4 linked regions of the Pelodiscus sinensis genome follow. The main gene of each other region encodes a partner of the protein of the gene in region 2 in a complex. Links are inferred from orthologs where the notes say so. Each region holds a gene or a part of one and is shown on either strand. Other genes may lie near its edges.

Region 1 (7,516 bases), on a different chromosome or scaffold from region 2:
ACGGATCGGGGAAGGAGGAAGAAGATGCACCGAGCAGGGCATGGGGGAGCAGAGCCTGGCTAAAGGTAGGATGGTGGTAAGTGCACCTGGTGGGGCAGTTGTGTTGTAATGGGCTGGGGCGGCGAATGCCAAGTGGCCCAGCTCCAAGTCCAGCACGTGGTCTGGAGCCCGGGCTGCGGGGACTTCTGGGGCCTGATCGCAGCAGACTCCAGCCCTGCAAACTGGAAGGCAGAAGGTAAGGGAGGGAAAGAACAGGGGGAAAGGATGGGAGAGGAAGGGGCTTGTGCTGACGGGAGAGGGGCAGGTCAGGAGAATAAAGGAGAAGGGACCAAGGGATAGGGTGGAGGAGAGACAAATGCCGGGGGGAGGGAGGGGAGGTAAGTGGAAACAATGAGGAAAAGGGCAGGAGGGGAGGTGTCACTGGGAGGAGGGACAGGGTGATGCTGGGAGAGGAGAGGGTAAGGGCACTGGAGGCTGGAGGTGCTGGGAGAAGGCTTGAAAGAAGGGGTGGGCATGAGGAAGGCAGGAATGGAGCAAGTCATGTGTGAGGGCACAGGGCCATGAGGGGAACAGGGGCAGAGGGTGGTGAGGGGGCGGGCATCAGGGAAAAAGTGGGCAAAGGAGGCAGGGGGAGTGAGGGAAGGGGGAGGCACCAGGAGGGTGCAGGGGTAAGGGAAGGTGCAGGTGCCAAGAGATTCTGGGCGTGAAGCAGAAGGGCAGACACCTGCAGGGGAGGAACCAGCACCAGAGGAGAGGTAGGGCAGGTGTGTATAAGGAGGTGTTAGGAGAGGGAATGAGGAAGGGTAGCTCACATGATCAGAGTGGGGCTACTGGAGGAGTGGGTACAGGGGGGGAGAGAAGGGCTGGTGGAGGGGGGCACTGGAAGGGAATATCATCCTACTCTCCCAACTATGAAAAATTGACTGAAGAAATGCAGTGCCAAAAATCACACTGACTTTATTAGAAAAACCACGTGAATTAATTATACCTATTTTCCATTAAGTGCTGATGAGCACGTATGATTAACTTGTTTAACTTTTTTTCATATGTGTTTGTTTGTTTATTGAAATCCAGATACAAGTAAAAAATATTCTTTGTATTGTTAATTAACCATAACTAGCTATGTTAAAGTAAGAATAATAAATATTTTGGCAGTTCAATAACGTTTTATTTTTTTTAAATAAGATGAAAACTGTTTGATGTTTATTTTGTACAAAGTTCTTAATTTTTCTTACAGATAGATAAAAAAGAACAAATTCACATGGTAAGGTGAAAGAATAATTGCCAAATAATTAATTCCTTTTACATGTAAAATTACCTTTATCTTATGAATTCATATATTATGTAATAAATAAATATGAAAAACATCATAATGTACAAATACAAAATAAGTCTGGAAAAATTGTTGGTACCCGCCACACTTCTGAAAACATGAATGTGCTATTGGCCACAAAAAGGTTGGGGACCACTGCTCTAAGTGTATTGAGGGAAAAGCAAAACATAACATTCATATTTCCAGTTCTACAAATGCTTTTCCCTGAATGCTGCACCATAAATGTAAACAGGAATTTACAGAACATGTAAAAAGGCCAGGGTCCCTGACCTGGAGAGTTTAAAATGCAACTCTGAAAAGCAAGTGTGAGGCAAGTGTGAAGACAAAGGTGGTGTGGGGACTACTGCAAGCAAGAAGACCTTCAGTGAAGCCTTTTGCACAGAAGTAGGGCTTCACAGGAAGGATTTCCAGCAAGCAATTGTTCCAAGTCACAGGTAGGCATGGATGAAGGTGTGACGCTAGAAAAGGAGGGGAGGGGTAAGGAGCCAAAAGGAATAGATCAGAGGCAAAACCCATTTTAAATACACTCAGAAAGCAAATACTTTAATGGGAGGTGACCTCCTAGGAATCCCAAGGCCCAGCTGGCACCCTTGTGGAAGTGTCACCCAGAACTTAAGAGAATTATAGAGATGGAAGCTACAGGTGATGGGAGCAGGGAGGATTCTCCCAAGCTCCCCCCCCCTCCTCCCTTCTGCCCCCAGCACCCTGAATCAATCTCTTCTGGTCCTTTCCCTACCCCATGTTGCAGTTTTCCATCCAGGTCTGTACCCAGTTGGGGGGGGGGGTGTAAAAGCACCCTCCCTGGTTCCTCATGGGGCTGATTCTGGCTGGACAGGGGAAGGCAGGAGTGGCACACTGAGTGGCTATTCTCCAGCCAGCTGGGGAAAGGCTGGGGCTGTGCGCTGTCCGAGCCTTCCCCCTACCCCACGCTTCAGCTGGCCAAGGGGAGTCTGGGGATTCTTCCGCTTCTCCCTCTTACCCCTCCCCGCAATAGCGAGGCCGGGAGGCAGGGCTGGGCCTCGCTCTTAAGGGAAGGGGATAAGAAATCAGCCACAGCCTTCCCACAGCGGGCCGGGGCACGCTAACTTGGGGGCCCATACGGGGGTGCATTCTCGCCCTTGGGGCCCACATTTCCAAGCAAAGCACACACCCCCCAGACACTTCTGCGTGCGGGTCTGCCATCCCCCCCACTCCCAACACCCCCCCTTCTCTAGCCTGAAACCCCAGCCCGATCCCTAGCGGCCTGGCAGACTCCCCCGCGCGTCCCCTCGGCCGGTTCCCGGCTCCCCAGCCTCTCGCCGGGCGGTACCCACCGTCTGTGACTGGGGAAGGCCCGGCCCCGGCCCGCGTCTCTGGAGCCGCTGCAGAGGGCGCGGCTGAGGTGTCTGGCGGCGGCAGCGAGGTCGGGGCTGGGGAGGCGGCCCCGCCGGGGTCCGGGCCGGGTGCTGTGGGGCTTGGGGCGGGGCGGCCCGACGTCTCTGCCGCCTGCGGCCAAACAGAGGGAGCGCTCGGGCCCGCGTCCGCCGAGGGCTGCGGGGAGGCGCTGGCGGGGCCGCTCTGCCCCGAGACTCCCCTCACGGCCGGGAGCAGCGGCAGCAGCAGGAGGACCCCGAGCCTCAGCGCCATCCCCGCTACGCGCGCCAGCGCCTCGGTAACCAAGGCGACGCCCCGGGGTATTATGGGAGAAAAGAGCCAAACCCCACCCCGGGGCATTATGGGAGAAGTCAGCTACCTCCCTGGGCCAGCACAGGGGGAAAAGGCTAAGGCTCAGCCCCAGGGCATCATGGGATAGGGAAGGGAGGGCACAGACAAGCAGTGTCAGTGCTTGTCTCCAGACTGGAAGAAGGGAGGGTGAGATGGGGCCAGTCTGCCCCTCTTGAAGCCATTTATCATTTGTGTTGCTGCAGCAGCTAAAAGCCTTGCTCCTGCACCAGCACCCCATTGTGCGAGGTAGCAGACACCTCCAAACAAAAAGGCTCCCCACCACGCAAAGCCCTCCCCCTCTGGGCCCAGAAGTTTGTACAGTCACTGTAGCACCTTCCTGAATAAGTGTTTGGGCTCTTCAGTCCTGCAGTTCACACTCCCACAAGCTTCAATGAAGATGGGTAGATTTGGGGATATCGCACTCTGAGTTTTTGGCTACGAGCAATATTAGCATGTCCCATTATTGCAGTTCCACCAATGTCATAGAATCATAGAGCTGGAAAAGACCTCAGAAGATCATCAAGTCCAGCCCCCTGCTCTAGGCAGGACCAGTTCCAACTAAATCAATGTCTGTGATGGGCTCTCCAGTGTTGATTAACCACTGGCATTTTAATCACTATGTAATGGAATGGCTGCCATAGAAGGAGAGATTAATAAGACTGGGACCTTTCAGTTTGAAAAAAAACCACCACAAAGAGGGATACAATAGAGGTGTATAAAATCATGACTGATATTGAAATAAATAAATTAAGAGTTGTTTATTCCTTCCCATAACATAAGAACTAGGGGTCACCAAATGAAATTAACTGGTAGCAGGTTTAAAACAAACAAAATAATTACTCCTTCACACAACTCCTCTCCTGTCCATGGGCCATAAGAGTACACTTTTCTTGATTCTCTGTGGTATGCTGCATAACAGGCTCCAGGGTATTTTGAAAGGTCTGAAACTTCCTCTTTTTCTGTTTTGTCATAATCTGATCATGAATGTTTTTGAAACAATTATTTCCTGCATGTGACCTGACCCTATATCATTATACAGGGTTCTCTTCTGAACAAGTTTATTCTTGCTACAGTAGAACCTCCAAGAGAAAAGTTATGAACTGATCAGTTAACCACATACTTCATTTTGAACCAGAAGTATTTAATCAGGAAGCAGAGAAAAATGTTTTAGTAGTTTGCATTTAACAGGACTGTGTGATATAGGATTTGCTTTATTTTTTAGACTTGACAGGGGAAGGTAACTGTTTCCGAGCTTGTTTCATTTAAATTAAGATGGTTAAAAGCATTTTTCTGCATAATAAAGTTATAATGCTATATTAAATCAATACTCAATTGGGGTATGTCTACATTTGCTCCCTAGTTCAGACTAGGGATGCAAATGCAGACGAGTGAAGTAGCTAATGAGGCCGGGATTTAAATATCCTGCGCTCTATTAGCATGATCTCACCGGTGCGCTAGTTCGAATCACAGCTGATTTGAACCAGGAAGTACGCGCCGGGACGCGTTAGTTTGAACCAATGCCCTTGGTTCAAACTAACGTTACTCCTCAAAAAATGTAGACATACCCTTGTAAACTTTTGAAAGAACAACCATAATACTTTATTCAGAGTTACAAACAATTCAGAGTTACAATGAGGTATACAGAGCTTTAAGCTTCTCCTGTACATTGACATAAAGCAGCAGCTTTTATTCTTGCTACCTTTTTGACCATGAGAGGGCGCACTGAATCTTGTAAATAGCACATCAGAATCCTTACTATACCATTAACAATCTTTGAATAACTAGCACTCCCATCACTACTACCACTTCCTGTTGCAGTAACATTTGGGTACATATTTTTTAAATTTTTTGAGAGGTTTCAGCTGTAATACTGGCAACTAAAATATTTCCATAGACTAGGTACAACATGGGTAGCAGCAGTGCCAACTTCACATTGTCCTCCTTTGTCAACATGTCTCCCACCTGCACTGGACAGACTGCAGACCATGTCTAAGGTCCCTATAGTCCATTCAGGCTTTGACTTTCTGCTGGGACTGCCAGCAATTAGACTAAATAGTGCCAGATGTAGTGATTAGTTTTGTGAGGCGAACGATGGTCTGTCTGCCTGTAACTGTATCAAGACCAAAACATTAATTTCAAATAGACAACCAAACAGCCCTTCAGATGTTAACAACTGTCAATCACTACTAATTTAGGCTGGATTTCAATTTACTTATCATATGACAGTTTCCTTGAGTCATTCTGCTCCCTGGAAATTAGTTATTCTGTTAAGGACACATTCTCTTCAATCACCCCACTCTACTAGAAACCCCAGAGCGCTTTACTTTCTGAAAGAATATCACTTGGTTAGCCCTCTAGAACAGTGTCCAATTAAAATGTATATAATACTACTTTATTTTCCTCTATAAGAAGAGAGAGGAAAGTTGATACACATTTGTCTTTTTGGTACTCTTTATTATACTGGGGATTTACGAGTTTGATGCAATTGGTAACAAATCTATTCATTTTCTTTAAGTTAGGTCTAAGGACAAAATCATGTTTCTGTTATGCGTAGTTTTCACATTTGGGAAAGATCAACAATGACTTAAAATATGGTTGAAACAAAAAACAGGACTATGTAGCACTTTAAAGACTAACAAGATGGTTTAATAGATGATGAGCTTTCGTGGGCCAGACCCACTTCCTCAGATCAAATAGTGGAAGAAAATTGTCACAACCATATATACCAAAGGTTACAATTTAAAAAATGAACACATATGAAAAGGACAAATCAAATTTCAGAACAGATGGGGGGAGGTAAATATCTGTGAGCCAATGCTAATAGAGGTGATAACTGGGGAAGCTATCTTTGTAATGGGTAAGATAATTAGAGTCTTTATTCAAACTTGAGTGTAAAGTGTCAAATTTAAGCATGAATGACAGTTCAGAGGATTCTCTTTCAAGAGAAATCTTAAAAGGCCTTTGAAGCAGGATGCAGGTAATCAAGTCATTGAGACAATGTCCTTTCTGGTTGAAATGGCAAGAAACTGTTTTTTCTTTGTGATCCTGTCTGATATCTGTTTTGTGGGCATTGATCCTTTGGCGAAGTGTCTGAGACGTTTGTCCAATGTACATAGCAGACAGACACTTTTGGCACATGATTGCATAAATTATATTTCTGGATGCGCAGGAATATGTGTTCTTGATCTTATAACTCACTTGGTTAGGTCCAATAATGGTATCAGCAGAGTGAATATGTGGACAAAGCTGGCAACGGTGTTTGTTGCAAGGGAAGGTACCAGGGTTGATATTAGTGTGGTATGTCCTGTGGTTGTTGGTAAGAATCATCTTGAGGTTAGGTGGTTGTCTATAGGAGGCTACGGGTCTGTCTCCCAGAACCTCTCAGAGTTTAGTATCCTGTTCCAGTATAGGCTGTAGTTTATTGATAATGTGTTGGACAGATTTAAGTTGGGGGCTGTAGGTGATGACAAGTGGTGTTCTATTGTTGGTTTTCTTGGGTCTGTCTTGAAGTAGTTGGTTTCTAGGTATTCATCTGGCTCTTTCAATTTGCTTTTTTATTTCTCTGGGTGGGTAGTTGAGGTTTATAAATGCTTGGTAGAGATCCTGAAGTTTCTGGTCTCTGTCAGTGGGATTAGAGCAGATGCGGTTGTATCGCAGGGCTTGGCTATAGATGATGGATCGTATAGTGTGTTCTGGATGGGAGCTGGAAGCATGTAGGTAATTGTATGAGTCAGTGGGTTTTCTGTAGAGTGGTGTCTAATTTTCCATTGCTGATTTGTACTGTGGTGTCCAGGAAATGGATCTCTCGTGTAGAATGGTCTTGTATAGAATATGGTTCTACTTTATAAAGTGTCTATTTCCTTTTAGTCTCTCAGTGATTCTGTATCATATGCACTAATTGTACAATCAGTTTCTAATGGTCAGCCTTGCAAAGACAGCTTTGGATCTGAATTAAATCTGTGGTTTTGTTGCCTCCCTCTACCCCCTTCTGTATGAATAATAAAAGTTCTATATGCTTAAATCTGCCCTCCTTCCACTATGTGAAGACTATGTGGTTGCACAGGTGATCATCATAGACACCAACCTACTTCCACCAATTGGTTTACACATGTCTAATGTACTGACACTTGTGAACAATTTGTTTGCACAAGAAGAAATAAAATCCATCTAACTCTCCATAGCTGGGTTGACCCTGCAGACTTAACAGAAAGTAATCACATCTTGTGTGAAATCTTGACCTCAGTGGAATCAAGGGGAGTTTTGCTATTGACTTGAATGGAACCAGGATTTGTCACCTTACTGTTAATTCCGTATGCTTTTAGGGCCTCTGAATACAAACATGGAACACGTCTATTGAGTAAAAAGTGCCATTTTTATATTGTTACTTTTCCAAAGAGAACCACACTTTAAAGATCTCACCAGGATGAGTTTGCTGTTGAAACAATATTCGCTATCTTTATTTTTATTATTAATTAAAAT
Region 2 (8,048 bases):
TATATTCTGCACAAAGCTAGGGTTATGGCCTCGCACTCAAACCTGGGATGTATTGTAAGATAAGCACCAGAAGAAAACAGTCATTAAGACTCAAATCAACACATTTTGTAGTATAGCAATAATGATTCAGGTGGAAAGGAAATCTCTGGCACCATTTAAATGAACTCTGTGTTTCTGAAATGCCAAATGAAAAAATCGGTGATATTTAAATTTTGTTAGCTATGCTGCATCTGGTGTTTATGGCTTAGTTTTGTTGCCAGACAGCCCCAGGAGCATCAGTCTGGGAGCCCAGCCAGTGTCTCCCAATTTAGTCGGACAATTGTGGATACACAGAGATCCAATATTCCTGATTTAAAGCTCACAGGCAGATTGTCAGGGACTTTTGTTTTATTTATAGTTAGCATGTGTGGAGAGAAATAAAACAGTAATTTAAAATACTGTGCAATTAAGGGTTTATTTCTTCAACGTGCAGAAGTTTCTCATTCCAGTAGCTTATTTCAAAGCATAAAGAATTGGAATCTCTAGGTAGTTGTGCCTCATCCATTAAGAGGTGGATAGACATGAAGAAATACAGGAATGGGGATTCCTTTCCATTTAAAAAAAGGAAAGAGATGAATATCCAGGACTTCTATAAAAGTTGAACATTTATGATGACCATCTGTATGAGTACCGGATCTGTTCCAGTCACGTGCAGTTTAATGGTCTTCCTTTCCTTATGGTTCACTATTATATAAAGCACTAAATTACCAGTTCAGCTGTTCCCCAGGCTCTGTTCCTTAAAAATATAACTTCCCTTTCTGCTTGAAACAAAAGAATCTGCTCACTAAAAACACACTCCATAAAATGAAGTCTCCTGTTCATTAAATTCACAATAGATGGTTGCATGAGCCCAAGGACAATTAAATTGGATTAGCTGAAAAACAGACATATTCTACCTATGGGGAATATTGTATGCATATACATGAAAATTAAATATTGAACAAAGGTATGAGGCTTTTTTTTAACTGGGGCAGGTAGGATGCTTGCCATCTGCTGAACACATTGCCCTGTCAAATATCACAGATTCATATCCTGAATGTGGAAACCAAGTGCACATAGCAAATCCATGGATTTCTTTAGTATCTGCCTTCCACTGGCTTTTCTCCTTTACTTGCAGCTCAATTTTGCCACTTCACTGATTGATAAGCTGTGCTACCTCCCACTATTTTGGGGAACTGAGAGCCCAATTTTTCAAATCTTCCTTATGTCAAGAGTACTTTATTGTGTGACAAGTCCCATTCACTGTAAAGGAAATACTCATGTGACTAGAGACTTCACACCTGACAGATTGGCGGAATTGGGCCTATAAAATTAGAAACATAGAATGAGAGATCTAAGTATCTGTGCAGAGTGACTGCATGGTGTCTAGCCAAGGAGCAGCATATCGTTTGTTATTGACAAGAAAAAAGGTCTCCCTAATTTAAGTAATCAACTGGAAAATCCCAAAGGAGTAAATTATTTTAAGATGGAACCTTGACTTACCAACACGCCATGTGGGAAGAACTTCCATGAAGATCTGACTTAATCATAAGTTCACTGCCATACTTTTACTTTATGCATACCTGCTCCTTTCATAGGGATATTCAGTGGTAAGGATTTTGAACCAATATTTTAAAATGCATTAAATTATCCAAGACCAAGGTAACGATGATGAAATGAGGTTTCAGACACTTCAATTAAAATTATATTCTAATGTCCTGAGACACACACCTTTAATGATGTTTCCTCAAATATAAAGTTAGCTTTAGAATTACTCCTTAACATTTATATTTGCTTCTGTGGGCAGTTTATTTAGTCTGTAGAGGTTTTGAGAGTCAGGATTCCTGGATTCTAGAAATGAGCGATTATCATATGTTTTTCTTTTAAAATTTCTAGTTGATATTTTATGAGGAACATGTAGATAGACTGGATTACCTTTCTTCTTATATTGAATCATTTCAACAGAAGGTTAACATCACATTTCAAAGGGTCAAACTCTAATGGCATTTTCCGTAAAATGGGTGCAACAACATTTAACTACCGTGTCAACTTTAATTAATTGATAGCAACTTCCAACCACTTTCAGTACAAATTCCAACCACTCAGGAATTACTCTAGCTTCCTCTGAACTGCCCACAAGCTCTTCCTCCCCTAAATCTCTTTTGAGCACTTCAAGGAATAAGGTCTTGCCTGCCTGTATTTATTTCCTTTATTCAAGGAAAACCTGTGAAAGAAAATTGGTGTCAACACTTTTACCAACATTAAACTATTCTGTAGAACTCTCATCTTTCGAATATTATCAAGGGAAACAGTTTGGTAGGATTTCTTTTTAAAATAGATTGACATTTATATGAATTCACTCTGCAGTTACACCAGTTAGGTTAAAACTACAATAATTCAAAAATCCTGCCAAAATTCCTAAAAACTGATCATCAACTGCAGTCCAGGGGGACAATAATTTATATTGCAGGATTCCCCACTCTCCTCCAAGAAGACTGGGCCCTGTGTATCTTGGTGAATCTCATGTATGTGGGGTTAAGGTGACCATATTTTGAAAAAAAAAATTTTTTTTAAAAGCAGGACACTTTTGTAAAAACGTTTTTAAAGGTAAGGAAATACTCATTCAAAAGTAATTTAAAAATATGTATCGGTGTCACTGCTGCTAGCTTTTCACTCAAAAGCAACACGGGGAAATATCTTAAGCGTGCAGTGCATTTTCTACTAAAGTTAGAGTGCACGTTCATGATACTTCTTCAGCTGATGGGCCTTACAGTTCAATCCACTGTGGGCTATACTCTCCACTCCTAACACCATTCATCCCATCCAATGCTCCTTCCGCTGCACTAGTGCCTTAAGCACCGGACTCCTACTCAGTACTGCAGTACTTCCTGGACCATTTGTTTTTAAAACTTTTAGGATATATAGAAAACTGGAAGGACTCAGGTGCCCTGAAAGCAGGTCTTAGGTAGGGATGTTAAATATGGGTTAATTAAATAGTCAAGTAACCTCATGAATTCTTATCAGTTAGTTGACTATTCTATAGCCCCAGGGGGTGAGGCTGGCAGCCAGTTCACTTCAGCCTTACTCCTGAGGAACCCCCTGCCACTCAGCAGCGCAGGGTGCCAGACGGAAGCTGCTCCAGTTTAAAAAACAGCTCCCCTTGTGGATCAGCTGCCTGTCACCCTGTACTGCTGCCTCTCATAAAGAGGAAGCAGTGCAGGGTGTCAGCAGCCCCTGTGTGTGGGGGGGGGGGGGGGTGGAGGGGGGTGGAGCGGGATCGGTCTGAACTCCCAGACCCAGCATGAGCCGGAACCAAGCCGGGCTGCCTGCCTGCTAGGGTTGCCAGGTGTCCGGTTTTGAACTGGACAGTCCAGTATTTAAGCTTTCTGTTTGGGGAACTAATTGAGAAAATATAAATGTCCAGTATTTTCTAAATAAGATGTAATGTAGAGTGTGATGTAATGTTAAGTGTGTCTGGTATTTTTGTTGAAACCATGTGGCACCCCTACCGCCTGCCCATCTCCTAATACACTTTAAATGCAGAGCCACAGCAGGGGTAGGTCTCAAATCCATCACAAGCCAGGACTGAGATGGGCTGCTGGTCAGCCTGCTAAAAAATTTACTGGCAAGGGGTGGAGGAGAGAAATGTGTGTAGTCTATAGCATTAACCTATTAGCTTTTGCTTATCGGTTTAAGGGTTAATCGACTGCTTTATTACATCCCTAGTCATAGAATCATAGACTCATAGGGCTGGAAGAGACCTCAGGTGGTCATCAAGTCCAGCCCCCTGCCCAAAACAGGACCAATCTGGGTCAGCAGGACATTGTGTGAAAAAAACAGGCTGTGGGATGGCCATGGTGGGTACGCCACATATTGCAACCAGCCACATGCCAGGCTCAGTTGGGCCCAGGGAATACTGGGCAGGGAGGGTGTGACGTAGTGGGGGTACCTGGCTGGTTTCTATGCTGCTGGCTCTGGGGTAACCCCCACTGGCTCCCGTGGGTACCACGACCCAGCAAAACAGGATGAGTCACTATGCAAACCAGTATGGCCAGACACCCCCCATGGAGAGGAACAAAGGAAGGTGGAATGCTGCCCTGGCTGGGGGGCAGGGCTGGAAGAGAGTTAGTTAGTTGCGGTCTGTGAGCATGGAGGAGACAGCCTAGGGAGAGGGGCTGGAGTTTAGGGGCCCAGTCTCCCCCCAACTCAAGGGGGCCTGAGGCATCCTAGCCCAGCTCTGTGACCAGATTACATCTGTGCTGTGCTGTATCCTGGAGAGGCAATAAACTTCTTCTATTCCACCGGCTGGTGCAGTCTGTTTGTGCCATTTCGGGGTGCAGGAGACGGGGGACCCCCAACGCGCCGTCACAGAGGGATGCCCTCTTGGGGGTGCCCTGCCAGAGAGCATGGGGGGAAAGGCTAGAGAGGGTTGCCAGGCGTCCCGTTTTGAACCAGACAGTCCAGTATTTTAACTTTCTGTTCAGGAAACAAATTGAGAACTATAAGTGTCCAGTATTTTCTAAATAAGATGAAATGTGGATTGTGATGTCATGTCAAGTGTGTCCAGTATTTTTGTTGAAACCATCTGGCAACCTGGCTAGACATATGATTTAATGACTAAACTTGTTTCTACATGTGTTTTGAAATCACAGGCTATATTTTTCTATGCAAATATTGGAATTTCAAAATGTAGTAGATTATAAAATGGGGAAATAAGTTCTTGTACACAATTTGTCACACTTGGCACTGGCCCCCACCCATAGGCCTGGGGCTCTGCTTTGGGGCTGGCAGCAAGCAGGAGCCCTGGGCCTGGGACAGGAGCGACCCCTCCCTTCCTGCCCTGGCTGGGGTTGGTGGGGGCACAGTCAGGGTAGCGGCTTCGCGGGTTGCTACTGCGCATGCTCGAATCGCTAGTTGCCATGGCAGCGGGTTGGCTGCCCCTCGCGCGGCCAGCATGGCGCTGCCGGATCCGGTCAGGAGGCGGCTCGGCTCCTTTAGCCGGTCTGTGTTCAGCGACAACAACCGCACCGGCCCGGAGCGCCGAGAGAGCGGCGGCAGCCTGGGTAAGGCCTGGTTGCGCTGCCCGCAACAAAGATGGCGGCGGCATCCTCAAAGGGAGAGAGGTGGGGGGGCAGAGGGTCGCTGCCAGGAACGAAGATGGCGGCGCCAACGTCGCTGTAGCGGGGCTATGGCTAGGACTGGGCGGATGGGACAGCGCGTCCCCGCGCTCAAAGGGCGGGAAGGGGGCGCGCGCTGCCTTGCGCCGGCAGCTTCCCCCCTCCCTCCGCCCCAGGGGTGGCAGCAGCCGCCGCGCGGGGCCTCCCTGCTGCGCCGTGGCTTGGGGACGTGGCTCCGCGTTGGCGTCCCCGGGGCTGCGGGTGCCAGAGCATCCCCGGGCTCGCGGGAGTGAGAGCTGCGCTAATGCATCGTCTCCGCCCTCAGCCCCCCTGTTCCTGCTCCACGGCTTGGCTTAGGTACCGCTCCCCAGGCTGTGAGCCTGCCTGCTGGGGGGCTAGACCCCAGCTTGGGAGCTAGGCTGTGCTGCCAGTCCCACCCGTTCAAAAATCCCAGGTCAGGCATCCCCCCTGGAGCTCAAGAGGCCCTCATCAAAATCCTGAGATTTAAACGAGGACTATGGGGTCTTTGCCTTTGGGTTTCGCATGATTAGGGGTTTGCTTTGGGATGGTTGTTTCTTTGGTTGTGGCAGCTTTTCTTAGCAGCCAGGAAGGATCGGAAGCTCTAAAAAATAAAAGCTGAGATTCTCACAATCCCAGGACTCTAGAAGCTGGGGCTTTAAGAAAAGCACCACAAACTATTAAACCAGTTGGGATGCCATTGGACATCAGCCCAGGGCAAAACATATTGACTGTGTCAGACTGGCAAGTTTTTCCACAAAAGCGGGTGCTTTTGCGGAAAAACTTGCCAGCTGTTTACACGGGCTGCTTGAATTTCTGCAAGAACACTGACGATCTCATGTAAGAAATCAGTGCTTCTGGCAGAAATACTATGCTGCTCCCGTTCGGGCAAAAGTCCTTTTGGGCAAAAGGGCCAGTGTAGACAGCTCAGATTTGTTTTGCGCAAAAAAACCCCGATTGCAAAAATGGCGATCAGGGCTTTTTTGCGCAAAAGCGCGTCTAGATTGGCATGGATGCTTTTCCGCAAAAAGTGCTTTTGCAGAAAAGCGTTTGTGTCAATCTAGACGCTCTTTTCCGCAAATGCTTTTAACAGAAAACTTTTCTGTTTAAAGCATTTGCGGAAAATCATGCCAGTCTAGACGTAGCCTCTGTGCCTTTCTGTGAAAATACTACCATCCCTTCACACTCAGCCAGGCACTCGGTGTAACTTGCCAGATATTTTATACCACCACCTAGCATATTTCATCTGAAAAGCACAAAGCACTCCAGGACGTAAAATAAATCAGACTCTCACTGCCACCACATGTAACTGATGGTTTGGGTGTTTGAATTGGATCTGCTGAACCAGGGACACGTAACAGGACTTACAGGTGAGGCAATCATAAGGAGGAACTTCCACATGCACAAACCCATGGTACTTGTGGATACTTCTATGGGCTGCACTTTGAGAAATGGGGGGGAACTTCCAACAGTCAGTTTACTGATAATTAATTCAAGTAGATTTAATGTGATATCAATCCATTGGACAAAGAAAGAAGGAAACTTGTCAGTTGAAACAAAACCATTCCTGATGTTCTCATTTTTAGGACTTATTTTGTATCTGGGTCTGGTTGTATATTTTTGTTTTGTTTTTGGAATTTACATGCAAACTCTAAACACTGTAGAACTTTACCTCCTACATAGTATTCCAAGGGTCAGTATTTTGTTTTTCTGAGGTTTAGCAGCTAATTTTCTTCTCTTCATAGTGTTTGATTTGTAACTCCTCATTCTGTAATGTACATTCAAATTTGCCCCTTTTTAAAAAGCATATTGGATTGACATTGCTGGAGTCTAGAATTTTCTGTGCAGAAGAAAGATTGCATGGAGACCAAGCGATGCAAGCTTCTCCATCAGCATGCTTGCGTTCTGATTTGTAGAGATCAGTTTTAATTTGAGTATAATCAAATATATATGGTCACTTAGTCCCATTAAAAAAAGGCCTAGCATTATCACATTGCTACAGTCAGGCATCAGGAATTAAGAGTACAAGTCAGTTCACCTCCACTGTCTATTGCTCTCCTTTTGAGCACCTCCTCTGCTTAACACCTTCCTTATTTCTTTGTATACTCCCATCACACTTAGATTGTTTAGAATACGGTAGGGAATTATGTAGAAAAATTCTTCCTCTGGCCACTTTGACATATGCTTAATGATGAACTTGGTTGATCTCAGAATCCAACCATTAATGAGTTGAAGTTGTTCTCTTAAAGTAGAGGCATCTTTCTCTGCTCTATGTAGGAAATATAATGTCTGATACAGACCTTGGGTGATGATGATTTCTCTCGCTCTCTAGATAATGAAATAGTTGCCAGTTTGCCATTGCAGATGTCCCTCTATTTCAACCTTTACTTTTTCCCATTTTGGTGGGTAAGCAGTGTGGTCATGCTCCAGCTGAAGGTAAGTCCTGAGGGGACTTATCCCCTACAACATCTGTGCTGCCTGTTTGAATTTTATTTCCTTACACTGTCTGCAAGAGTAATATAATACTCAGCCCATCTACTCATTTCCTTCAACCCACACATGGCAAATGTTATTTAATAGAGTGCAATAGCTTAGTGGAAATGTCTGAGTATCTGGAGGTGCAGGAATTTGTGACAGAGTTAGTGACAGGTTTGGTTGGGTGGCAGATTGAAAAATCAGGGGCAACGGCTTGTCAACTTTCAGGAATATTGACAGTGCTGCATGAATTTCCAGAATGCAAATTCCATGAGCTTCTGTAGAGCTGTATAAAATAGCAATAGCACATGCCAGCCCCATGGAATTCTTACTTTCTTCCTCTCTCTAGTACCCAGTCTTGCCAGATTACTACAAGTTCATCCTGGTCACAGTCATCGTCATAGTCTCTCTCATTGAGGC
Region 3 (7,736 bases), on a different chromosome or scaffold from region 2:
TGAGGGTCAGTGCCAACGCCCAGAAGAGAGAGAGAGTTACACAGGTGCAGGCTGGAGAGCATAACCCCCCCAACTGCCCCCACCCCAGAGCCTACCAACCCCCACTCCCAGGCCAGTTCTGCCTGTCTCAGTCTCTCCACAGGCCCAGCTCCCCTGTCCCTTCTCCCACTGTCTCATGCTGCTTCCACTCTTTGGGCCCATTCCTGCCATCCCAGCATATTCTCCCTCATGCCCTTCCTGGCCCATTTTCCTGTCCCCCCCTCCCAGGTGCCCCCCGATAGGCCCCAAGCCCTGCCAGGCCAGGCCAGTTGACCTCTGGCACACCCGGTCCCTGGCTGACTGACTCACTCCACGTCCTGGCGCTCATACTGCTGCTGGCTGTACTGCAGGGGCAGTGAGGCACGGACATTGTTGTCCTGGAAGATAGGAGGCAGTGAGGTCAGCCCTGCAGGGTGCAGCGTCCTGAGCATACAATTCAGCATGGGAGATGTAGGAAGAACACAGCAAATGCAAGGGAAAGCACACCAGTGGAGCAGACAAGAATCCAAGAGTCCTTAACCCACCAGCTCATATTCCCCTCCCAGAGCTGGAGAAAGAACCCAGGTGTCTCAGTTCCCAACCACCCTTAGCCTCTACCTCCTTGCCACAGCAAGGGCTGAACCCAGGAGTCCTGATCCAGCTTGTTGCTACCCACTTCCCTACAGCCACAACCCCTCCCTGGTTCCTGCGGCCCATGCACTGTATGCTCTTCTCACCTGTGGAAAGTGACTGTATGTGTGTGGGGGGGGGAGGGGGGGAGGAATGAGAAGAGGATGCTGGATGGGTGAGATGGGAGCCCTGCAAGGATGCATGTTGGAGGACTGTGTAAACTGGGAGAGGGGGTGCGTGTGTTGGGAAAGCTATAAATGTGTCGCAGATTTGTGCCTCATAGTGGCAGGCGGGTGTTGCCAGGACAGCATACAGCATGTCATACAGGTGTGCATGGTATGGATGGGTGTTGCACGGATGCGTATCACTGGGCCAGGCATGTTGCATGTTGTAGTCATAGGCGTGGTAAGGGTGGGTTTGTTGTATCTGTGTATGCTGTAGATATGGTTGTTGTTATGCGCGTTGTTGGGCTTCGCGTGCATTACAGGCATCATTCGTTAGTGTGGCATCAAAGTTGGCATGCTGTATGGGTGTACAGTACATCATAGGCATGGTTATCAGATGGATATGCACCTTCAGAATGGACATGTGATACAGCTGAACATGAGAAGGGTGGATATGCTTGGGGTGAGCGGGCAGTCATTCTATAAGGGTGCACACCACAAGCATCAGATCGGTGTGCGTTATTGGCGTGGACAGGCAGGCGTGCTGTGTTGGTGTACGTGGTGGATGTCACATAGGTGTGTATTGTCTGGGTGCACAGGTGGGTGTGCAGGGTGTATGTTGTGGGGATCACAGGGGGATGCGCAGTCAGGGTTTCTTACCCGGGACCAGAAGATGGTGATGACGATGACAAGATGAGCTGTGAGGGTCAGGAAGCGGGCAGGCACCAGCCCGCTGACCAGCGCCATATGGCCCGTGTCCCTCACGTGGTCAGGGTCCTCTGGGCAGGTCTGACTGGGGGGAGCAAAGGTGTCAGACTGGGGAGACCAAAGGAAGCACTAGGCCCCCCACCATATTTCTGAGGAGTTTCCCCATCATCTCCCCAGTAGAGCCCCATGTCCATCACTCCTCCACCACCCCAGCTCCTTTTCCATCTCCATCGCTGCCTCCCTGTGGCGCACCCCATTTCACCCCATCCTCACTGCGTGGTGACATCTCCCCTCCCTCATGAAGTCCCCCCCCAATACCTCCCATATCTATTGCCCTACCCCCCCATCATCATCTCTGCATCACCATCTGCACCCCCATCCCCTTGAGACCTCCTTCTCCATTGCCCCCTCCTGTGGAACCCCCCCCCCCGCACTCTTCCCCCCCATGGAACCTCCCCCCGCACTCTTCCCCCCATGGAAGCCCCCCCCCCGCACTCTTCCCCCCCATGGAACCCCTCCCCGCACTCTTCCCCCCATGGAACTCTCCTCCCCGCACTCTTCCCCCCCATGGAACACCCCCCCGCACTCTTCCCCCCATGGAACCCCCCCCCCCGCACTCTTCCCCCCATGGAACTCTCCTCCCCGCACTCTTCCCCCCCATGGAACCCCCCCCGCACTCTTCCCCCCCATGGAACCTCCCCCCGCACTCTTCCCCCCATGGAACCCCCCCCCGCACTCTTCCCCCCATGGAACTCTCCTCCCCGCACTCTTCCCCCCCATGGAACCCCCCCCGCACTCTTCCCCCCATGGAACTCTCCTCCCCGCACTCTTCCCCCCCATGGAACCCCCCCCCCGCACTCTTCCCCCCATGGAACCCCCCCCCGCACTCTTCCCCCCATGGAACTCTCCTCCCCGCACTCTTCCCCCCCATGGAACCCCCCCCGCACTCTTCCCCCCCATGGAACCCCCCCCCCCGCACTCTTCCCCCCATGGAACTCTCCTCCCCGCACTCTTCCCCCCCATGGAACCTCCCCCCGCACTCTTCCCCCCATGGAACCCCCCCCCGCACTCTTCCCCCCATGGAACTCTCCTCCCCGCACTCTTCCCCCCCATGGAACTCTCCTCCCCGCACTCTTCCCCCCATGGAACTCTCCTCCCCGCACTCTTCCCCCCCATGGAACCCCCCCCCGCACTCTTCCCCCCATGGAACCCCCCCCCCCGCACTCTTCCCCCCATGGAACTCTCCTCCCCGCACTCTTCCCCCCCATGGAACCCCCCCCCGCACTCTTCCCCCCATGGAACCCCCCCCCCGCACTCTTCCCCCCATGGAACCCTCCTCCCCCCGCACTCTTCCCCCCATGGAACTCTCCTCCCCCCGCACTCTTCCCCCCCATGGAACTCTCCTCCCCGCACTCTTCCCCCTCATGGAACCCCCCCCCGCACTCTTCCCCCCATGGAACTCTCCTCCCCGCACTCTTCCCCCCCATGGAACCCTCCGCCGTGGGACTCCCCCTCTCATAGAAAAGAACCCTCAGCGCTCCCACCCGCGGCCGTGATCCCGCTTAGGCCCCCACGTTGCCCGAGGCAACCGCCTCTACGTGCATCCCTTGGCCTCGCCCCATAGAGAGAGGCGCGCCTGCGCGCTGGGTGGAGATGTCGCGAGAACTTCCCGTCTGACGGCGAGGACGAGTCCTAAATCGCCATCTTGTTTGAGGTCAGGAAGAGGGCAGCGGCCCTATGAAGTTCCTCTGTGGGAGGAACCGTTTCCATGTAGGGGATGTAGCTCAGTGGTAGAGCGCATGCTTTGCATGTATGAGGCCCCGGGTTCAATCCCCGGCATCTCCAGTTTTTTTTTTTGTTATTTCAGCCTCTAGCTGGGGGTGTTACCCTGGGAAGCCCTTCCCTGCGGCAGGCTGAAAAATGGTTTCGGTAAAGAAAGGATCCAGGGACAGTGGGAACGATTTATACCCAGGTATCCTCCAATCAACATGCAACAAAACGGTTTATACCCAGGTATCTGTCAGTCAGCAAGGGGCAAAATGGTTTAACAGACTCCCAGGGCTGGAAGAGACCTCAGGGAGGCATCGAGTCCCGCCCCTGCCCACAGCAGCACCAACCCAAACTAAACCATCCCAGCCAGGGCTTTGTCAAGCTGGGACATAAACACCTCTAAGGATGGAGATTGCACCCCCTCCCTAGGGAAATAGTTTTTCCTAATGTCCAACCTGGACCTCTCCCACCACAACTTGAGACCATTGCTCCTTGTTCTGCCATCCCTCACTACTGAGAACAGCCTCTCTCCATCCTCTTTGGAACCTCCCTTCAGGAAGGTGACAGTTGCTATCAAATCCCCCCTCACTCTTCTCTTCTACAGACCAGTGGTTCCCAACCTGTGGTCTGCAGACCCCTAGGTGTCCATGCCAGTACTGTAGGGGATCTGTGGAAAGTTTAGGAAAAGAAAAGAACAGGCCCACCACAGGACTGGGACTTTCCACCAGGCCATTATTGCCCAGGGCTCACTGTTCATAAGCAGTCACGCACACTCTGCCTCCCGCCCTTGAGACTGGATTTTGATACCTCAGGAGGCACAATCTGTCCTCCAGCCACCAGCTACACTGCCATTTACACTCCAGCCCTCTCCCCACTCCCAGTCCCACTCCCACAGTGGGGCCCAATCCTCACTTTCTTTTCTTTTCCTTTTCTTTTTTTTCTCCCCCAGGGCTCCATGCCCTGCCACAGGAGGAATGCCAGGGCAGGAGCTGCTTTGGCCAGGAGATCCCTCTCTCCATATCCTCTGTGGATGGGCTCAAAAAGGTTGGGAACCACTGATGTAGACTAAATAAGCCCAAATTCCTAAGCCTCTCCTCATAAGTCATATGCTCCAGCCCCCTCATCATTTTTGTTGCCCTCTGCTGGACTCCCTCCAAGGCTGTGTCTAGACTGGCCAGTTTTTCCGGAAAATCAGCCGCTTTTCTGGAAAAACTTGCCAGCTGTCTACACTGGCCACTTGAATTTCCGCAAAAGTACTGACTTACTACTGTAAGAAATCAGTGCTTCTTGCGGAAATACTATGCTGCTCCCATTCAGGCAAAAGTCCTTTTGCGCAAAACTTTTGCGCAAAAGAGCCAGTGTAGACAGCTCAGATTTGTTTTCCGCAGAAAAGCCCCGTTCGCGAAAATGGCGATCGGGGCTTTTTTGCGGAAAAGCGCGTCTAGATTGGCACGGACACTTTTCCTCAAAAAGTGCTTTTGCGGAAAAGCGTCCGTGCCAATCTAGATGCTCTTTTCCTAAAATGCTTTTAACGGAAAACTTTTCCGTTAAAAGCATTTCCGGAAAATCATGTCAATCTAGCCACAGCCCAAGTATTTATATCCAAACATCTGGCAGTCAACAACAAGTTAAATCTTTTTTCCTGCCAATCAGCAAGGGGAAAATTATTTAAACCCATGCCGCCTTCAATCAGCATTGGACAAATTGACTTACACCCATGCTCCCTCCGATCAGCAAAGGTCAAGATAATTTCAAACCAGCTATCCTCCAATCAACATACAAAGCCACACATCAGCAATTGCTCCTCACTGACTGCATAAGAAGAATGATTGAGTCTTGAGATTACAGGCAGAGGGCGGAAATCTAAAAAAATATTTTTCATCTATTTATGCTTTTGTATAGTAAATATTAAGGAACAGAATCTCTCTACATTCCCACCCTATCTGTCTATGTACTCCCCCGCAATGCCCTTTGATTTACCTACTCCCCTTTCCTTCCCCCATGTTCTTGCTTAGAAAACAAGAACCCTGAACCACAGCACCTCATCACAACCACATAGAATAGACTCTCTGCAGCAGACTGCAGAGATTATGCTTTTTAGGTAGCTGTGATGGCTGATTGGTTAACGCACTGAATTTGAAATCCCCTGAGATCTCCCTTAGCAGGTTCAAATCCTGTTTGTAGTGATTGGTGCTTTTGCTGGGAGAGACGAGACATGGAGATCTTGCTGACGGAGGGTATGTCTACACTACAAAGTTAGTTCGAACTAACGGACGTTAGTTCGAACTAAATTTCATAGGCGCTACACTAGTGCTCCGTTAGTTTGAATTTAATTCGAACTAGCGGAGCGCATAGTTCGAACTAGGAAAACCTCATTTTACGAGGATTAAGCCTAGTTCGAACTAGCTAGTTCGAATTAAGGGGTATGTAGCCCCTTAATTCGAACTAGTGGGAGGCTAGCCCTCCCCAGCTTTTCCTGGTGGCCACTCTGGCCAACACCAGGGAAACTCGTCTGCCCCCCTCCCGGCCCTGGACCCCTTAAAGGGGTACGGGCTGGCTACGGTGCCCGTGCCAGGTGCAAGCCTGCCAGCACCCAGCCAGCAGACCCTGCACCTGGCATGGATCGAGCCATCCACCCGATGCCCCCCAGCCCTCCCCCTCTTCCCGGGACCAGGCTGGCGGCTCCCGGGAGCTTGCCCGGGACCGCAAGAGGGGAACACCCACCTGGGCTAGTGCAGACATCGTGGACCTCGTCCTCGATCTCCGCACTAGGCACAGGAAAGTGGCCAGCTAGGGCAGGAGAGCTGCCAGCCTGGCCACCCAGGAGCAGGTGTGCAAGAGAATCAAGGGGGTCCAGTGAGACCCCCGACCCTGAGCTTACAATGGCCGTACTGGGTCAGACCAAAGGTCCATCTAGCTCAGTAGCCTGTCTGCCGACAGCGGCCAACCCTAGGGACCCTGGAGGGGATGGACCGAAGACAGTGATCAAGCCATTTGTCTCGTGCCATCCCTCTCCAGCCTTCCACAAACCTTGGGCAGGGACACCACTCCTACCCCCTGGCTAATACCACTCCATGGACCCAGCCTCCATGACTTGATCTCACTTCCCATTAAACTCTGTTCTAGTTCTAGCCTTCACAGCCTCCTGCAGCAAGGAGTTCCACAGGTTGACTCTTTGCTTTGTGAAGAAGAACTTTCTGTTACTAGTTTGAAGCCTGCTGCCCATTCCTTTCCTTTGATGTCCTCTAGTCCTTCTTTATGGGAGCTAATGAAGAACTTTTCTGTATGCACCCTCTCCACCCCACTCATGCTTTTAGAGACTTCTATCCTGTCCCCCCTCCGTCTCCTCTTTTCTAAGCTGAAAAGTCCCAGTCTCTTTAGCCTCTCTTCATATGGGACCTGTTCCCAACCCCTGATCATTTTAGTTGCCCTCCCCTCTCCCAGCCTCTCTCTTCCCCTCTCCCACCTCCTTTTCCCAGTCTCCCCCTGTTTTGTTCAATAAAGACAGATTCCATTTTGGAAGACATGTTATCTTTATTTTGTACATCAAGAAAAGGGGCTAGGGAAGGGTAAGTGGAAGGAGGTGAGGGAGGACTGGGCTGGCTCTGCGGGCTTCTGGGGGTGGAAGCTCTCCTGCAGCCCCCCAATTGCCCCCTCTCCCCAGATGGCAGCCTGCGGCAAGTGCAGCCGGGCTGATGGCTGAGTGCTGTGATGTGCCCAGTGTGGGTAGTCCAGGCAATCCAAGCCAGGACTGCTTTGCAAGCGGGGCACCCCTGAGAACTGTCTGTCCGGGGTGGGGGTCGGGACCCTTTAAGCACAGCCCTCAGCTAGCCTGAGACAGCATCTCCACGCTCTAAGTTCTTCTCTGATGCCCTGCCGGCACTGCTTCCGGCCATCCTTAAGCCCGGTTCAGAGTCCACTAAATGTGGACATGCTAGTTTGAATTAGCAAAATGCTAATTCGAACTAGTTTTTTAGTCTGGATCCGTTAGTTCAAATTAGCTTAGTTCGAATTAACTAATTCGAACTAAGTTAGTTTGAATTAACGTTGTAGTGTAAAAAAACCCTAGGGGTATTTTCTGGGCAAAATTAAGGATGTTAAGTATTGTGTAAATGACTAATCGAATAGTTGATGCATTTTTGCATGGACTATTTGATTAGTCGATAGGGCGGCACTGCCGCTTTGAAGTACCCTCCCCCCTTCTCTCCTCCTCTGATAGAAGCAGCAAGAGAGGGAGCGACTAGTTGACGAATCCTTAACATCCCTAGATGAAATGCCAAGCAGGCATCTATGAGCTGGACAGGTGGGTGACACAGTAGGCTGCGTATGGGTCAATTCTGGGGCCGGGGGAGTGAACCCCAAGTCGCAGCGAGGAGCTGGTGATTGCATCCCCTGATGTTCAGAGGCACAGGCCTTGGGTGGTCAGCGTTCAGGAGTCACTCTCTG
Region 4 (7,669 bases), on a different chromosome or scaffold from region 2:
CAGATCATTTATAAGTAAGTTGACTAGGATTAGTCCCAGGACAGACCCTTGGAGGACACCACTAGTTACCTCTCTTCACTCTGAAAACTTGCAATTTATTCCTACTCTTTTTTTCCTATCTTTTAACCAGTTATTAATCCATGAAAAGACCTTTCCTCTTATCCTATGACAACTTACTTTGACAAGGGCCCTCATCGAAGGCTCTTAAGTAAAGGCTTTCTGGAATCCACTGGATTCCCCCGACCATGTTTGTTGACCCCCCTCAAAGAACTTGAGTAGACTAGTAAGGCATGATTTCCCTTTACAGAAACCATGTTGACTTTCCCCCAGAAAATTATGTCCATCTATGTATCTGATAATTGTAGTCTTTAGTATAGTTTCAATTTATCTGCCTGGTACTAATGTTGGAGTTATCAGTCTGTAATTCCCAGGATCACTTCTAGAGCACTTTTTAAATATTGGCATCATATTAGCTATCTTCCAGTCATTAGGTATTGAAGCTGATTTAAAGGATAAGTTGCAAATCACAGTTAATAGTTCCACAATGTCATATCTGAGAACTCTTGGGTGAATGCCATCTAGTCTCGGTGTTAAGTTTATCAATTTGTTCCAAAAACTCCTCTAACGACACCTCAATCTGGGACAAGTCCTCAGATTTGTCATCTAAAAAGAATGGCTCAGGTTTGGGAATCTCCCTAACATCCTCAGCTGTGAAGACTGAAGCAAAGAGTTCATTTAGTTTCTCTGAAATGACTTTATAGACTTTAAGTGCTCCTTTTGCATCTTGATTGTCCTATGGTCCCACTAGTTGTTTGCCAGCTTCCTGCTTCTGATGTACGGACAGTCCCCGGGTTATGTACAAGATAGGGACTGTAGGTTTGTTCTTAAGTTGAATCTGTATGCAAGTCAGAACTGGCATCCAGATTCAGCCGCTGCTGAAACTGATCAGTTTCAACAGCGGCTGAATCTGGACGCCAGTTCCAACTTACATACAGATTCAACTTAAGAACCCCAGGCGTCCCCAAGTCAGCTGCTGCTGAAACTGATCAGCAGCTGATTCCAGGAAGCCCGGGGCAGAGCAACTCTGCCTCGCGCTTCCTGTAGTGAGCCGCTGGTCAGTTTCAGCAGCGGCTGACTTAGGGACGCCTGGGGCACAGCAGCTTGGGTGCTGCTGGGTTGGTCCAGTAGCGCGGCCGTTCCTCGGCGCTACTGGACCAACCCAGCAGCACCTCAGCTGCTCTGCCCCAGGCGTCCTGATTCAGCCGCTGCTGAAACTGATCAGCAGCGGCTGAATCAGGACGCCTGGGGCAGAGCAGCTGGGGTGCTGCCGGGTTGGTCCAGTAGCGCCAAGGAGCGGTGCTGCGGGACCAACCGGCAGCGCCCCACCTGCTCTAACACAGGCCTCGGGCTTTGCTCCACGTCTCCCTGGTCTGCTGGGGGGGAGGCACTAGCTGCGTCACCCCCCAGCAGACCAGGGAGATGCGGAGCAAAGCGGCGGAGGACCCAGGCCGGACCCGCGGCGCTTCCAGATCAGCGCCGCGGGTCCAGCCCGGGTCCTCCGCCGCTTTGCTCCCCGTCTCCCTGGTCTGCTGGCTCCCCCAACGTCCCGCTGCTCCAGTCCTCCGGGGCGAGAAAATCCCCATTCGTAACTGTGGATCCGACATAAGTCGGATCCGCGTAACTCAGGGACTGCCTGTACTTAAACAACATTTTGCTATTACTCTTTGAGTTTTTGGCTAGCTGTTCTTCAAACTCCCTTCTGGCTTTTCTTGTCATATTTTCACACTTCATTTGACAGAGTTTATGCTCCTTTCTATTTTCCTCACTAGGACTTGACTTCCACTTTTTAAAAGACACCTTTTTCTTTCTCATTGCTTCTTTTATTTGGTTGTTAAGTCATGGTGGCATTTTTTGGTTCTTTTACTGTATTTTTTAAATTGGGGTATACATTTAAGTTGGGCCTCAATTATGGTAGTCCCAGAAAATTTACTTATTGCCTCAGCATGGGGAATGTACAACAAATTCAACCCATCTATGCTAGAGTGAAAAACAAAAAGTCACAGGACAAAAATTCCCTAGGGCACCACTTTCCCCTGGCAGCATCACTAACTCAGTACCCGTCTAAGCTCTGCAGGCGGATCACTGCCGACACGTCACCATTCCGCGGGTACCTGCGTTCCCGTGCCACGAACAAACATCCCGATTTCTGACAAGTCCAATCTGAATTAAAGAGCCCAGCATTGAACAACACTCTCCCTCCCCTGCCCCTGCTTAGGGTAGCCCGCAACTCGGCTCCCAGGGACTCACCACAAACGCAGCTTCACGGGTATTTCGTGCAGCAGGGGCGGGCAAGTAACATGATGATGCCGCAGCCCCTCTGCCCAGGCTCTGCCTCAAGTTGGCCCGTCATTGAGCGGACCCTCCCAGAACAGCTCGTCCCAGAGAAGGGGGCCACGCACCCGCCAAGGCCTGGGCAGACGGAAGGCAGGTTGGGCTTGTTACACCGCCCACCGCACCCCGCCCGCAGCGAGACAGGACTCCCCACCACCCCACCAGCCCCTCGCTCGCTCGCTCACCCCCGGCGCTCCGCCCTTGCTGGGGCCCGCACTGCTTGCACGCCAGGCTGGAGATATCGAAGTAACGGCCATCGCCGCAGTCCTGGGGCTGGCGCAGCGGCAGGGAGAAGCTCTGCCCAGCCGAGAGCCGCGCGCTGAGCAACAGAAGCAACAGAACAACGGGTCCACAGCGCCCCGCCGTCGCCATGGCTACTCAGCTCCCAGCAGCCTTCCCGCCGCGCGCGGATTGGCGAACCTCCTCCCGCTGAATCAAGGACAGTCCCGGCTACGGACAGCCAGAAGGGCCAGAAACAGCCCAGGCCGGAGACCTGCCTATGGGAGCAAAGAGTAGGATGGGGGTAGGCTGGGCTGGTGGATGCCGTTTCCTCTTCTTCCCCCAAAGCGGAACGCGAGGCTTGAAAAGCAGCGCAGTGGGGCGTGCGGGGGCAGAATGGAGGAGGGAAGAATAGGGGGAGCGCTACAGGAAGAGAAAACACTGAGCAGACAGGGAAAAAGAGGGAACTATAGAAACAGTATATACAAGGCCAGAGAAGCCGGTAAGAGGCGATCTCATGGACACCTGGACAGGCAGGAGAAATAAACTTGGTTCAAAATACTTTGAATGGAACTGAGCCTTCAAAACGGGGGAGTGGGGAGAAAACAACAAAAGGATACATAACTCTAGGCACCTTTTTCTGGCTGCATTCTGTTTTATTTTGTATTTGGAAAGGTAGGCAGAATTATGGTTTAGAACAGCATTTCCCAAACTACGGGCCGTGGCTAGTTGAGGAAAAGAAAATAATTTACCTCATCCAGCAAGAGTTTCCTCTAATGTTTTCCATCCATTGGCGGAATAAATTTTGTTATGTGCACTGAGCCATGTGTGGATATGCCCCATGCTACTGGACACTGGTGCTGTGCTGTGCTAATCAACTGGCAGCAACTGAATTTCTCCTGAGCAGCCATCGGTTACAACAGGGAACATCCAGCCACTTTTCTTCTAGATCAGGAGTTCCCAAACTTTTTGACACGGGGACCAGTAAATCCCCCCGGCGAGCCCTGCTTCTGCCACCCACCCGCCCCAATCTTCCCCAGACAGCCCCGCTGCCCTTAACCCTGCTTCTGCTGGCTGGTCGCCCCCAATCTCCACTGGACAGTCCCGCTGCCTCCAACCCTGCCTCCACCAGCTGCCCCCCCCACCTCCGATCTCCGCGGAAGAGCCCCACTGCCCCCAACCCTGCTTCCCAGTGGCCAGTTTCCACCTCACACACACCTCCTCTCAGCCCGCCCCGCTCCTCTCCCCTCCCGGCAGTCACGCTGAGACCCGGTATTTTTTTCCCACGGCCTAGTACCAGGCCACGGCCCATAGTTTGGGAAACGCTGCTATAGACTATATGCACTCCCCCCACCATACATTTTTTAGCAGTCTGACCAGTAGCCTGGCTCAGTCCTAGCTTGCACCAGGTCCGAGACTTGCCTCCACTGTGGCGCTGCATTTAAAGCATATTAGGAGCCAGGCGAGCAGGCAGCCCAGCTCAGTTCCAGCTTGCACTGGGTCTGGGGGCTCAGACTACCCTCCCTGTCCCCCCACCCGATAGGGGCAACTGCCATCTTGCACTGCTGCCTTTGCATCAGAGGCAGCAGTGCAGGGTGGCAGGCAGCTGGTCCATGAGAGGAGCTGGTTTTTAATCTGGCTCCCTTTGTGGACCAGCTTCCACTGGCACCTTGTGCTGCTGCCTCTGATAGAGAAGCAGCAGTACAGGCTGGCAAGGGGCTCCCTAGGAGTGAGGCTAAAGCACACTGGCTGCCAGCCCCATCCCCGGGAACTACAGAATAGTCAACTAACCGATAAGAATTCATGAGATTGACTATTCAATTAACTGATATTTAACATCCTTAGTCCTAACCTCATTGGTCAGTAGTTTCAACTCTGCTGACAGGTAAACAACCTTCCACAGATAGGTCACTTGATCATGTAACCAGCTTCAGTTTGGGAGACACCAGGAATATAAAAATCCCATGAGGGAGAGTTGGGGTATCTGAGGGGTTTTGCTTGACGCTTCCTGATGGCCAGATTGGCAGGTGAAGCACTCCGTGTGACTGGTTTGTGGCCTGTTTGGGAAAGGTCTCCAGTTGAGGGCTGTGAGGAGCCCTGGTTTTGAGCAATTCGCCCTAAGCTGATGCCCTCAGCAGTGCACAGACCCAGCCCATGACAGGAGTTTCTTTGTCTTTAGCTGGCATGGTACTCCCAGGAGGATAACTAAAGACCTCAGGGAGAGGCAATTTCCCTGGTTTGGAGGGTGATCTAGAATAAGAACAATTTTAGGGTGAGTTTATAATAAGTTTGTACTGAGGTTCTAGTGTTAGAATTAGCTAAGCATTTTCTGTTATTTTAAATTTGTAATCTATTTTGCTCTGGCTGTTTTATTGTTAAAGGGGGCTTACCTAAATTCATTTGGGGTTCTGATCCCATTTGGGGAGTGGTATCCCAGGAAGCTGGGCTCAAAACTGCATTTCCCTTGGGCTTGAAGAGCTTCAGTGTCTGTACTGCTCCTTGAAGGGAGTGGAGGGTAGTGATCTCAGCTCTGTGCCTTAGCTGGGGGAGACCAGGGAGCTGGCCCAGCAGGACAAGGTAGTGAAAGCCCCCAGAGAGCAGGAAGGTGAGTGTCAGTGGCCTTGTCAGCACTCTGGGAAGCACTCCCAAAGAGTCTTCTGTGACCGTGCCCCATTACACTGCTACCTATTGATTTCCTGTGGTGACCCCTAGTTCTTGCGTTATGGGAATAAGTGCTAACTGTTCCTTATTCATTTTCTCCACACCGGTCATGGTTTTAAAGTCTTCTATCATATCCCACTGTAGTAACCCTCTTTTCTAAGCGGAAAAGTCCTAGTTTTACTGATCTCTCCCAGTATGGAAGCCATTCCAAGTCCCTAAACATTTTTTGCCCTCTTCTGAACTTTTTCCAATGCCAACATACCTTATTTGAGACAAGGTAACCACATCTGCACACAGTATGCAAGATGTGAGCATACATGGATTTGTATAGACACATTAAGATATTCTCTATCTCATTTTAAATTATTCCTAGCATTGTTTGCTTTTTTGATTACTGCTGCACATTTAGTGGATTTTTAGAGAACTATCCACAGTGACTCCAAGATCTCTCTTGAATGGTAACAGCTAATTTAGTTTCCATAGTTTTTTATGGATATTGAGATTGTTTTCCAATATGTATTACTTTGTATTTATCAATATGAAAAATTCATCTGCCATTTTGTTGCCCAGTCACCTAGTTTTGTGATTTCCTTTTCAAGCTCTTCACAGTCTATGTTGGATTTAACTATCTTGAGCAGTTTAGTATCATCTGCAAATTTTGCCACCTCACTGTTTACCCCATTCTCCAGATAATTTATTAATAGGATTCATTCCATAACAGATCCATGTGGGGCACCACTAATTACTTCTTTCTGAAAACTGACCATTTATTCCTAACCTTTATGTGTTAACCAGTTATCAGTACATGAGAGGACTCTCCCCTTCTTATCCATGACAGCTTACTTTGCTTAAGAGCCGTTGGTGAGAGATCTTGTTAAAAGCTTTCTTGAAATCTAAGTACATGATATCTAGTGGATCAAGGGTGGGCAATAATTTTTGCCCTGGGGCCACTTGAAAAATTGGAAGTGGCTCTGGGCCACCCTGGAATGGGCGGGGCCTAAACAGGAAGGACAGGGCTGCCCCAGATCTTTGCCCCCCCCTTCCCAATAGGCATCCATGCCCTGGAAAAGGCTTGGCATGCTCCTCCACCCCATGCCAATCAGGCTCTGGGGGCTGTGAGAGCACAGGAAACCTTCTGCTCTGCGAGAAGCATGTGGCACTTTGAAGTGTGCGTGCTCCGTGCAAGGCTGGGGCAGGGTGAAGGAAGCTTCACACAGCTCCCCCACCCTCAGGCCCTGATTGGCTTGGGGGTGCATGTGAAGCCACCTCCTGCCCTACTCCCGCTCCTCAGGGGGCAGGGGAGCTGCATGAAGCTTCCTTCGCCCTGCTCCGGCCCTGCGCAAGCGTGCAGCAGTTTGAAGTGCCATGCGTGCCTTGCAGGGTGGGGGGAGGGCAGAGGAAACTTTGCACCGCTCCCTCGCCCCCAGGCCAATCAGGGCATGGGGGCAGGGGAACACTTGATGTCTCCTCCTGCCTTGAGAGGAACATGGAGCACTTTGAAGTGCTGTGTGCTCCTTGCATGGCAGGAGGAAGTTTCATGTGCCCTCCCCCGCCCGTGCCCAGGCTCTTATTGGGGCCTCCGTGGGCCAGATCCACTTGCCTGGTGCGCTGGATGCGGCCCACAGAGGCCCTTTTGCCCACCATGCAGTGGATCTTCGTCCACATGCTTGTTGACCGCCTCAAAGAATTCTAGTGGATTAGTAAGGCATGATTTCACTTTACAGAAACCATGTTAACTTTTCCCCAACAAATTATGTTCATCTGGGGCTGTGTCTACACTGGCAAGATTTAGCGCAAAATCTTGCCACCTACCTACACTGCCTGCGAGTATTTGCACAAGAACACTGACATTGTACTGTATGAAATTAGTGCTTCTTGCGCAAATAGTCTGATGCTCCCGCTCAGAGATAAGTCCCCTCGCACAACTGTTCTTGCGCAAGAGGCCAGTGTAGACAGGTAACATCAATTTCTTGCGCAAGAAAGCCCGATGGCTAAAATGGCCATCAGAGCTTTCTTGAACAAGACAGCGTCTACACTGGCACGGATGCTTTTGCGCAAAAGCAAATCTTTTGCGCAAAGGCACATGCCAGTGTAGACGCTCTCTTGCGCAAATACTTTAACGCAAAAACTCTTGCGTTAAAAATATTTGTGCAAAATCTTGCTGACATAGCCTATGTGTCTGACACTTGTTCTTTACTATAGTTTCAGCGAATTTGCCTGGTACTTAAAGTAGACTTACTGGTATGTAAATGCTGGGGCCACCTCTGGCGCCCCCCCTTTTTTTTCTGAAATTGGTGTCACATTAGCTATCCTACACTCATTAGGTACATAAGATGATTTAAAGCACAGATTACAAACAACAGGTAGTAGTTCCTCAATTTCACATTTGAGTCCTTTT

Evidence for each region.
Region 1: TMEM17 (region 2) and TCTN1 share a complex: the UniProt entries of both Homo sapiens proteins name them as parts of the tectonic-like complex. The link is inferred for Pelodiscus sinensis from reciprocal best matches to the Homo sapiens genes TMEM17 and TCTN1.
Region 3: TMEM17 (region 2) and TMEM107 share a complex: the UniProt entries of both Homo sapiens proteins name them as parts of the tectonic-like complex. The link is inferred for Pelodiscus sinensis from reciprocal best matches to the Homo sapiens genes TMEM17 and TMEM107.
Region 4: TMEM17 (region 2) and TMEM67 share a complex: the UniProt entries of both Homo sapiens proteins name them as parts of the tectonic-like complex. The link is inferred for Pelodiscus sinensis from reciprocal best matches to the Homo sapiens genes TMEM17 and TMEM67.

Annotation. Positions count from the first base shown.
Region 1 is NC_134725.1:34,086,323-34,093,838, reverse strand, and holds the start of TCTN1 (tectonic-1), read right to left. Parts: upstream 3,062-7,516; 5' UTR 3,047-3,061; coding exon 2,647-3,046; intron 1-2,646. UniProt on the Homo sapiens protein: Component of the tectonic-like complex, a complex localized at the transition zone of primary cilia and acting as a barrier that prevents diffusion of transmembrane proteins between the cilia and plasma membranes.
Region 2 is NC_134713.1:185,703,379-185,711,426, forward strand, and holds the start of TMEM17 (transmembrane protein 17), read left to right. Parts: upstream 1-4,914; 5' UTR 4,915-4,972; coding exon 4,973-5,081; intron 5,082-6,163; exon of another isoform or gene 6,164-6,465; coding exon of another isoform or gene 6,466-6,523; intron 6,524-7,485; coding exon 7,486-7,589; intron 7,590-7,977; coding exon 7,978-8,048. UniProt on the Homo sapiens protein: Transmembrane component of the tectonic-like complex, a complex localized at the transition zone of primary cilia and acting as a barrier that prevents diffusion of transmembrane proteins between the cilia and plasma membranes.
Region 3 is NC_134734.1:10,821,512-10,829,247, reverse strand, and holds the start of TMEM107 (transmembrane protein 107), read right to left. Parts: upstream 3,190-7,736; 5' UTR 3,065-3,189; intron 1,606-3,064; exon of another isoform or gene 1,602-1,605; 5' UTR 1,560-1,601; coding exon 1,473-1,559; intron 417-1,472; coding exon 349-416; intron 1-348. UniProt on the Homo sapiens protein: Plays a role in cilia formation and embryonic patterning. Requires for normal Sonic hedgehog (Shh) signaling in the neural tube and acts in combination with GLI2 and GLI3 to pattern ventral and intermediate neuronal cell types.
Region 4 is NC_134712.1:41,032,850-41,040,518, forward strand, and holds the start of TMEM67 (meckelin), read right to left. Parts: upstream 3,022-7,669; 5' UTR 2,764-3,021; coding exon 2,577-2,763; intron 1-2,576. UniProt on the Homo sapiens protein: Required for ciliary structure and function. Part of the tectonic-like complex which is required for tissue-specific ciliogenesis and may regulate ciliary membrane composition.